Mus musculus: one gene and its partner. The protein of the gene in region 1 purifies or fractionates together with the protein of each later gene. This does not show direct contact. Links are inferred from orthologs where the notes say so. Each region holds a gene or a part of one and is shown on either strand. Other genes may lie near its edges.

The links. The genes of interacting proteins can lie anywhere in the genome.
Region 2: the proteins of Cct8 (region 1) and Tle2 purify together in Homo sapiens (affinity purification with mass spectrometry; 3 studies listed by BioGRID and IntAct, with this or other methods). This does not show direct contact. The link is inferred for Mus musculus from reciprocal best matches to the Homo sapiens genes CCT8 and TLE2.

The regions. Positions count from the first base shown.
Region 1 is NC_000082.6:87,492,137-87,497,678, reverse strand, and holds the start of Cct8 (T-complex protein 1 subunit theta), read left to right. Parts: upstream 1-1,809; 5' UTR 1,810-1,890; coding exon 1,891-1,950; intron 1,951-3,251; coding exon 3,252-3,342; intron 3,343-3,892; coding exon 3,893-3,972; intron 3,973-5,542. UniProt on the Homo sapiens protein: Component of the chaperonin-containing T-complex (TRiC), a molecular chaperone complex that assists the folding of actin, tubulin and other proteins upon ATP hydrolysis.
Region 2 is NC_000076.6:81,587,469-81,591,899, forward strand, and holds the end of Tle2 (transducin-like enhancer protein 2), read left to right. Parts: intron 1-84; coding exon 85-332; intron 333-405; coding exon 406-553; intron 554-1,340; coding exon 1,341-1,491; intron 1,492-1,951; coding exon 1,952-2,028; intron 2,029-2,756; coding exon 2,757-2,864; 3' UTR 2,865-2,884; coding exon of another isoform or gene 2,885-3,220; 3' UTR 3,221-3,377; downstream 3,378-4,431. Other genes in the region: Tle6 (transducin-like enhancer protein 6), read right to left, coding at 3,567-3,671, 3,792-3,868, 4,418-4,431.

The DNA.
Region 1 (5,542 bases):
TTTAAACAGAGTCACCCAATGATTGTTTTTAATGGGTATCGTAGTAACCATTGATTGTTAATATTATAAATCAAACTATTTAACATTAATATAAAAATATAGCAGTGAACACTGAAGGCTAACATAACATTATTGAAAATGTCTCTCTTGAGGACTGATATTCTCAATTTTTTCCCCAAATATTTTATATGTGGCTTAGTGGACGACAAAGAGTGTAAGTGGCTCCTTGTGCTTTTCACATTCATACTGTGACATACTGAACACCCAGCAGGCCTTCACAGCTCCCCACAGGAAGAGGAGACAGCTCTGTATTACTATGAAAACACTTGCGTAGTCATGGGCCCTGAAAGGGCGTTGGAGAGCCTCGGAGGTGTCAAAACCAATCTTTGAGAACCACTGAACGTTTGCTCTGTCTTCCAATATAATTGGCTCACTTACCTTGTGTTCGGTGACAAGAAAGTATTTTCATGGTTACATTTTTTTTTCCTTTTTCTTTTCTTTTCTTTTTCTTGGATATTTTCTTTATTTACATTTCAAATGTTTTCCACTTTTCAGGTCTCCCCTTCGGAAACCCCCTATCCCATCCCCACTCCTCCTGCCTCCATGAGGGTGCTCCCCCACCCACCCACTCCCATCCTCCCACCCTGGCATTTCCCTACAAATGGTGCATTGAACACCCTAAGGCCTGAGGGCCTCTCTTCCCACTGATGTACAACAAGGCCATCCTCTGCCACATATGTGGCCAGTGCCATGGGTTGCTCCATGTTTAGTCTTTGGTTGGTTGTCCTGTCCCTGGGAGCTCTAGGGGAACTGGCCTGTTGACACTGTTGCTCCCTCCATGGGGCTCCAAACCCCTTCAGCTCCTTCAGTCCCATGGTTACATATTTAAAATGTTTAATAGAAAAAAAAATTGCAGTTGATAGTACGGTTGCAATTATGAGTCTGTCCCAATGTAAAGAAAATCTTAATTTCTCTATGTCCAACGACTCACCAAAGCGTTTCATATTTTTCTGCAAGGGCAGGAGATGCTTCCATTTTTTTGTATTTTTTTATTGTAAGAGTGTTTTACTTTCTCTATGAAGTTATTCTATTTACATAGAAATGTTTGTGAAAAAGATTCTGGGGGAGTAGAGAATATCTATATAGATATATAGATATAGATAAAGTGGTTAACTATTCCCACTTTGTAATCTGCCCATCTAGGGTAGAAATCGTCGCTGTAATATCTATTGGCCTGGTGACCTCTGCGTACCACTGAATTGTGGTTATCAACTTCCCTTCCATAAAATGGAGATTAATATTCATTCTTAAATTTGACCAATAACAAAGATAACTGCACTTAAGCAAACCGCTTAGCTCTGCTACGCACGTGCAGTCCACGCGTTGCAATCCTCCATGCTATTTCAAAGATCACCTTCGAGCCTTCAGTGCTTCCCAGTGACCAACACAGAGGATGTCCATTGGTAGTTTATAGGGGCGAGGGCGGGTGAGCTTGGAGAAGAAAAGGCTAACCTGCCCCGGTGCTGGGTCTGCAGGATTAAGTTTAAGTGAAGGATAAGACGTTGGGTGTCCGCCACCGAAATATCACAAGCCAAACGTCCTAACCAAAGTTTACTCATTAACTTAGGACAAGGGACACGAAGGGAGCATGCACGCTCTGGGTTCGGCCTGATCGTCCGCTTTGATCGGGAATCGGCAGATCAGGTCTGTCTGCTGGAACCTCTGGTTCTCGCGATATTTCAGAGACGCTGCAGGTTGAAGGGGCGGGGCGACCGGAAGTAGGGGGACGCGAGGCGGCGCCGAGGCCCATTCCCAGCAGGCAGTGCGCGGCGCCCCTTGCTTCCTCGGCGTCTCGGAGCGAGCGCGTGAGCGGTGGACTGCGGCCGAGCCATGGCGCTTCACGTCCCCAAGGCCCCGGGCTTTGCCCAGATGCTCAAGGATGGAGCCAAAGTAGGTGGCGTGGAGGGACTGTACGGTGGGAGGGTGGGTCTGCGCCTGTGGCGACCGCGACAGGCCTGCGGGCGGGCGGCCGCGCCGCGATCGGGATGGAGAAGGTTCTAGAAAGGGAAGCGTGCTCTGGATGCCGGCTCGCTGGAACTGGTGGGCATTTCTGTTATTCCCCCGGCGGCTTCGGGTTTGCATCCCAGCTCCCCACGCCCCTGTCTGCGGCATGGAGCCCACGGGCGCCGCCCTTAACGCGAGCTGGCGATGCGTTAATGAACTTGGACGGAATTGGTAACGGGTGGTTGGAGGGCCGGGGATTGTAGGATGGAGATGACACGAGTCCGGCATGGTCACTCCTGGGCCTGCCCTTGGTTGCTTCCTTCCAGACACGTCCGATCCCCACTGCTCTACTGAAAACTCTCCTCTGGACGTTCTGTTTCCTTTACCTTTTCTGAGTTGAGACCGGGCCGAAGGCTGTTAACTGTCTTTTCACTCTGACTGTCCGATGTCGTAGCCTACAGGATAAATGAAGCCCCACCCCAGATCGAATAGGCCGTAGTTTCAGGAGTGATTTTTTTTTTTTTTTTAAAGCGGTCACATTGCTTATGGAGCGATTTGTCCTGAGTTCCCCAAGCTGCCAGATAACGTTTGTTTTGTCTTTCATATTTTTACAAGTTGTAGAAATAGCGGATTCTTAGCAGTACAGAGAGGTGGTGTCCCCTTTGTAGTGATAACTGGCATACTGAATGGATGTCAGGGCTTAATGTAAGTTAGTAAGTTCTGCAAATGACACTGTTAACCTTTTGAGGGGTAGCAACAGCTTCCAGTTTCCATCTTTTCCTCCATCACTCTGGCTGAGGACATGATACATTTAAAGGATTTCTGTCACAGGCTAGCATTTCAGCACAGAGATACTTTGTGTAAATCGGTACTGATGGAGGCTATAGTGAAGACAAGTTTTTTTAAAGTACCCCCATCCCCCAAATTTAGGTTAAAAGCTAGTACTAGTAGGCTGGGATTGTAGTTTAATGGTAGATTGCTTTCTTGTGTTCAATCCCTGGAAAAGGCAGAAGGAAGAATAGTTGTTATTTAGCTAGGTGAGTAATAATCTGCCAAGTAGGAGCTATTGATTATCCCATTAGTTTACAGATAGGAAAGAGAGCCAGGCCCAGTGGGGGAAACTGAGGCTGTCTGATGACTGCCTGTGTGATCCTGGCTGTTTCTTAGAAGCATACTCAACAGAGGTATCCTGCGGTAGAAAACTCTTAACTTGGTTATCATGCCTAAGCAGACATTTTCTTTTTCAGCATTTCTCGGGATTAGAAGAGGCTGTGTATAGAAATATACAGGCCTGCAAGGAGCTTGCTCAGACTACTCGCACAGCGTACGGACCAAATGGTAATGACCAAGTTCAGGCTGTGTGGTGTGACTGTTAGCGTAGAGAGCGGGCCTCACGTGTTTTATGGTCGGTGGCATTGATGTGCCTCTCACTTTCAGTCAGGAATGCAGCTTTCTGGGAAAAGAGAAATTGGAAACGATGCTGTTACCCTGTTAGGTCCTAGGGAAGTCCAGCATCCTCACTAGTGGCCAGTACTATTGTGGAAAGGCTCAGCAGTCTGCAGAAAACAGCACGGCATCAGGAAGCTCTTCCTTCCCTTTAACCACCAGTTGAATTAGAGATGCACACAAAGAGATTACGGAAGAAACCAAATGTGTTTCTAAGCATATTGATTTTAGTGTTAATTCCTGTTTATTAAGCACGTCTTACATGCTAAGCATGTTGGTGTTTAGTCAGGGAAGCCCATGGGGCTATGATGCTGATCTAAACAGATGGTGTGTTCTGGGGCTAAACATCAGTACGGCTTCTTGCCGGAGTTTTCCTGGGTTGTTTGCAGAATATTTGAATAATAATGGAACCTTTTTTTTTTTCTTTGCAACTACTTTTAAGGAATGAATAAAATGGTCATCAATCGCCTGGAGAAGTTGTTTGTGACAAACGATGCAGCGACTATTTTAAGAGAGCTAGAAGTAAGTTTTGTTTCAAAACCATCAAAAACCCATGACTCTGACATAGGTGAAACTGTATTCAATCTAGAGGACGAAAGGCTGTTTCTTCCTCCACTTTATTGTGAAGATTTATAAGTGACCTTTCTAGGTTTTCCATTTTGGCTACTCAAACTCTTAAATTGTCTGTGGGTGGGTGGGTTGAGGAGTATTTCTCTGATGATGATGAGATTTATTATTCTATAGATTGATTCTAATGTGAATTCTCCAGCAGTATAAACTGGTAAATATTGATACTTTATTTTACATAACCTTTTGGCATTTTCCTTTTTTCCCTGAAGTTTTGTTGTCCAAGAGGGTGTGGAATAGATACTTGGAGCAGGATAAGAGGGCTGTGATGCCCATCTCTCGCTCCATTAAACCTGTGGTTTAGTATTGGAGGAGGGGGTAAATAGTGTTTTTTAAAAAATGAGAAAAATTCACATTTCTCTAACAGCTTAAAGAATATGCTAAGAAAAATCTACCTTCACAAATATTTGTGGAGGAATTTTTCATGGTAAATGAAATGAGGAGGACTGGAGTTGAGTGCAGACTCCTCTTGATCAGTTCCCAGCACCCACATCAGGCAGTCCACACAGAGCATGGAATCCTAGTTTAGAGTGACCCGCCACCCCCTTCCAGTCTCTAGGCACCTATTCACACATAGCCACACACAGACACACACAAAAATAAAAATGACCTTCAGAATAACAGAGCTGTGGTGTTGACTTAAAGGGGGACGTAGTCTTTGATTTATAAATGTGGCCTGGGGAGATAGCTCAGTGATGCAGCTCTTGAGCCTAACAAACACAAAGCCCCAGGTTCTGTCCCCATTGCTGAAAATTTAAATTGAACAGTGTCTAAGAGTAATTCCTAAGAATTGAATTTTGTGGCTTTTTAAAAATACTTTGAAGCTTGGGTGTAGGTGCCTGTCTAGGCTTTGATTGCCGACGCTGTATAAACCTGTATAAAAGTGTGGTGGCTTCTGCATGCGGTCAGCACTCAGGAGATGGGGGGGGGGGGCAAAAGGATCCGAAGTTCAAAGTCAACGTCGGCTAGAGTCTGACTGTGTGTACTATCTCAGAGAGAGAGTCTGACTGTGTGTACTATCTCAGAGAGAGTCTGACTGCGTGTACTATCTCAGAGAGAGAGTCTGACTGCGTGTACTATCTCAGAGAGAGAGTCTGACTGCGTGTACTATCTCAGAGAGAGTCTGACTGTGTGTACTATCTCAGAGAGAGTCTGACTGCGTGTACTATCTCAGAGAGAGTCTGACTGTGTGTACTATCTCAGAGAGAGAGTCTGACTGCGTGTAGTATCTCAGAGAGAGAGTCTGACTGCGTGTTGTACTATCTCAGAGAGAAAAGAAAAAGGGGAGTCATGGGTTCCTCAAACAAGAGCATGTTTAGATGTATAAGTGGTATTAAAACTGCCTATGTTTTATTTCTTGTAAAACCTTTGGTTTGTTTTTGAGACAGGGTCTCTGTTCAGGATGTCATGGGCTGGCTCTGTAGACCAGGCTGGCTTGGAACTCTAGATCCCCTCCTGTCTGTGC
Region 2 (4,431 bases), on another chromosome or scaffold:
AGGGCGGGGCCTACAGTAACGCATGGATCTGTGGAGACCTGGGGGAGTACCAACCCTGCCTGGCCCTGCTTCTCGCCGTGGTAGAACCGAGACAACTACATCCGCTCCTGCAAGCTGCTGCCCGACGGGCAGAGCCTGATTGTAGGTGGCGAGGCCAGTACCCTGTCCATTTGGGACCTGGCAGCACCCACACCACGGATCAAAGCAGAGCTGACTTCGTCTGCCCCGGCCTGCTATGCTCTGGCCGTCAGTCCGGACGCCAAGGTCTGCTTCTCCTGCTGCAGCGACGGTAACATCGTGGTCTGGGACCTGCAGAACCAGGCCATGGTCAGGTGTGTGGGGCGGCCCCGGGGGTGGTGAGTGCACAGGTGACTGCAGTCTTGGACGTCTGCTCTCGCCCTGTAGACAGTTCCAGGGCCACACGGACGGGGCCAGCTGCATCGACATATCAGACTACGGGACCCGGCTGTGGACTGGGGGCCTGGACAACACTGTGCGCTGCTGGGACCTGCGCGAGGGCCGCCAGCTTCAGCAGCATGACTTCAGTTCCCAGGTGCGCTCACAATCCTCGGCCTCCCCGAGGGTGTCCCTACCCGGCCTGAAACCGGATAGGACACGGGGACTGAGGAGACAGCTTGGTGGGTAAAGTATTTGCCTTGATGGCAGGAGTTCAAATCTCTAGAATCCACATAAAAAGCCAGACAGACATAAAAAACCTGCCTATAACCCTGGGCATGCCGAGAGCTGGAGGGTCAGAATAGTCAGTGGGAGACGGACTGCCTTACATACGCCTTTAAAAATAAGATTTACTTATTTTACTTATATGAGTACACTGTAGCTGTCTTCAGACACACCAGAAGAGGGCATCGGATCCCATTATAGATGGTTGTGAGCCACCATGTGGTTGCTGGGAATTGAATTCAGGACCTTTCTTCAGCCCAGGACATGTCTTTAATTCCAGCAATGGGAGGCAGAGCAGGTGGATCTCTGTGAGTCCCAGGGTGGTCAGAGCTGCATAGTGAGACAGTCTCAACCCACCCCCAAATACAAATACAAATAAAAAACCACTGCTAGACTAAGAGTGACTGCAGCTTCTACCCCTGATCCTGACTCCCCATCAGTCAGAAGCAGGACACAGTCAAGGCTCAGCCCTGGACCTTGAGCCACCTGTAGAGCCAGCTCCCTCTGCCCAGAATCTCAAGGTGCTGTGTTCCTCTGATGAATGCTAAGGTGTGACACCTGTCACTGGCCACCTTCTTGTCCCCATTTGGGGCACCCCTGGGCCTTCTTCCAGCATCATGTGTGACCCCAGGGTCTCAGCACTCTCTCTCTTGACCTAGATTTTCTCATTGGGCCACTGTCCCAATCAGGACTGGTTGGCTGTGGGGATGGAGAGCAGCCACGTGGAGGTCCTGCATGTGCGCAAGCCTGAGAAGTACCAGCTCCGCCTCCATGAGAGCTGCGTGCTGTCACTCAAGTTCGCTTCCTGTGGTACAAGCCTGGGAGACCCCTTGGCACAGCAGAGGGAGGGTGGATGGATGGGGGTGAAGCCTTAAATTAGATAACGAATTACCCAGGCCTGCCCACCCAGCTGCTTATTCAGGTCAAAGCCAGTTTAGATAAATGCACAGACACATTTAAAAAAAAAAAGATGGACCAGGCGAGGTGACTTGCATGCCTTTAATTCCAGTACTCGGGAGGCAGAGACAGGTAGATCTGAGTTCAAGGCTAGCCTGGCCTGTAGAGCCAGTTCAGGACAGCCAGGTCCACACAGAAAAACTGTCTCAAAAAAAAAAAAAGACAGCTATCAAGGACACTCCATGTTGCCTGGCAGCTCTCAGCTTTTTGATACTGCATAGTAGGCGGCTTCAGGAAGGAGTGAATTTCTAAGGTTTCCTACCCTGGTGGTCACTCCCATCCTCCCCTCTGCCCCCTCCCCTTCCCATCTCAGGACGCTGGTTTGTGAGCACAGGCAAGGACAACCTGCTCAATGCCTGGAGGACACCCTATGGGGCCAGCATTTTTCAGGTACCTGGTCTCCCCCAAATGGAGGCCAGCTCGACATTTCCTGTCCTAGACACTTCCTGTTACAGAGTCCCACACTTTGGGTCCCTCTGTGTACCACAGTGGATTTATTATAAGTACACTGTAGCTGTCTTCAGACACACCAGAAGAGGGAATCAGATCTCATTACAGATTGTAAGCCACCATGTGGTTGCTGGAATTTGAACTCAGGACCTCTGGAAAAGCAGTCAGTGATTTTAACCGCTGAGCCATCTCACTAGCCCTAGGTGGCAATTTCTAATAAGTCTCTTGAACCTTCAATGGATGTGCTATAGTGGTCTTTCACATTTCCTGTCCTTCCTAACCATCAAAGACCCCAGGAGTCTCCAATCCAGAGCAGTACCATTATCAACCCTTCACATGTCAGGGATACCCCTGTCCCTCCAGGACACGGTGACACAGATCTGTAATCTTAGCACTTGGAAGGATGGGGCAGAAGTATGGTTGGTTTGAGAGAGAATGAGGGAAGAGGAGGGAGGTACTTTGCTGTGAAGCCATCTGAAGTCGAGCTGTGATGAGTTAGGTACCATCTCTTAAGTCACCAGTCAGGCTAGCTCAGTCCCCAGCTACAAGGCCCTGGCAACAGTCACATCTACCAGCCTTTGTTGTCCTCCAAGCCCCATGCTTCTGGTCTGTAAACTTGGTGGTGGTGACCATGTGGCCACCCCTCACCTCCCCTTTCTCTGTCCCAGTCCAAAGAATCATCTTCTGTACTGAGCTGCGACATCTCCAGGAATAATAAGTACATCGTGACAGGCTCAGGGGACAAGAAGGCCACTGTGTATGAGGTGGTGTACTGAGCCATCTGCTGCCTTTTCAGGTCACCTGCCCTGGATGGCTGGCCACTCGGGACACGGGCCCCTCTGCTCATACCTGGCTTGCTCCCTCCTGGCTGGGTGGGGCTGGGGCACTGGGGAAATATAACACATTTATCAACTTGCTTTCTTTCTGTGTGTGTGTGAAGCGTACAGGTGAGGGACCCGACTGGGTATCAGCCTTCATTTCTCTTTGCCCCAATTTTCAGAGTGTGGATCTCACTAATGAGCCTCACAGACAGGTCAACATGCCCCAGGAATCCTCCTGTCTCTACCTACAGAGCTGGATCAGGGATTTACACTCACTCCTTATCCTGCCTGGTGTGGGCTTTACCAACTGAACCATCTTCCTGGCTCTCTTTAAAACAAAAACTGGGTGGGGCTAGTTTCTTAGTGTAGCACTGGCTGTCCTGAAACTATGTAAACCAGGCTGGTCTGGAACTCAGAAATCCGCCTGCCTCTGTCTCCTGAGTGCTGGGATTAAAGGCAAACACTCAGAAGTTGGAGGGCTCAGAGCTACAAAGTTCTTCCAAAACCTGGGTAAAGGACAAATCTCTGCCATTTCAATTGTTTTATTACACGCAACTCGGGATCTGCACACCCCATGGAAGCCTCTAGAAGCACTGCAGACCCATCACACCCATTGCCATCCACCACTGTGCAGTTAGGGGAGGGGAGTTGAAGTTGTCAGTACTTGATGTGGTACACCGAGGCACAGTCCCTGGATCCTGTGATGATGAGCCTGCCGTTCTCAGTCATGTCGAAGCATCTGACAGGGCCAACCTCGGGGACCTGAGACAGCAGCTGAGTGAGCTCAGTTCCTCTCCACCCAGAGCTTCAGAAATGACCCCTGTGGGGATGATGCTGAGGGTCCCGCTGACAGAGCCCCCAGTGCCCCCTGCACATAAGTACCTGGAACAGTTTTGCTCCGGTGGGCATGCTGTGGACCGTGATGAAGTTGCCCATACCGACGCTCGCCCACCACTTGCCTAGGAGGAGGGGAAGGAAGACAGGGAGGTTACAGCAGACCCCACCCATTCACTAACATCCAGCAGCACCCAGGAGGCTGAGGCAGGAGGACTGAGAGAGTTTGAGATGAGAATGAGTCTAGGCTACATGAGACCTTGCCTCAAAGAACAAGGCAGAACAGCAAAAAGTTTTACTGTTTTGTCTTTTGTTATGTTTTGCCGTCTGAAGCCTTTTATAGCTCAGGATAGCCTTAAGCTCCCCAAGTAGCCAGAGATGACTCTGAACTCCTGATTATGATTATGTTAATAAAAGATGTTGGAGTGTGGACAATACCCAAGCCCTGACTGGGCACTGAGTAAATAGCAGGGTCCTCTGAGAGGCCAGTGGCCACAGTGTGCACCCATCCTCAGTGGACTGGTTTCCCAGACAGGGTTTCTTTGTGGAGTCCTGGCTGTCCTGGAACTCTGTACACCAGGGCTGGTCCTGAACTCAGATCCACCTGCCTCTGCCTCCCCAGTGCTGGAATTAAAGGCGTGTGCCACCATGCCCAGGCTCAGTGGACTCCTTACCATTTGGGGAGAAC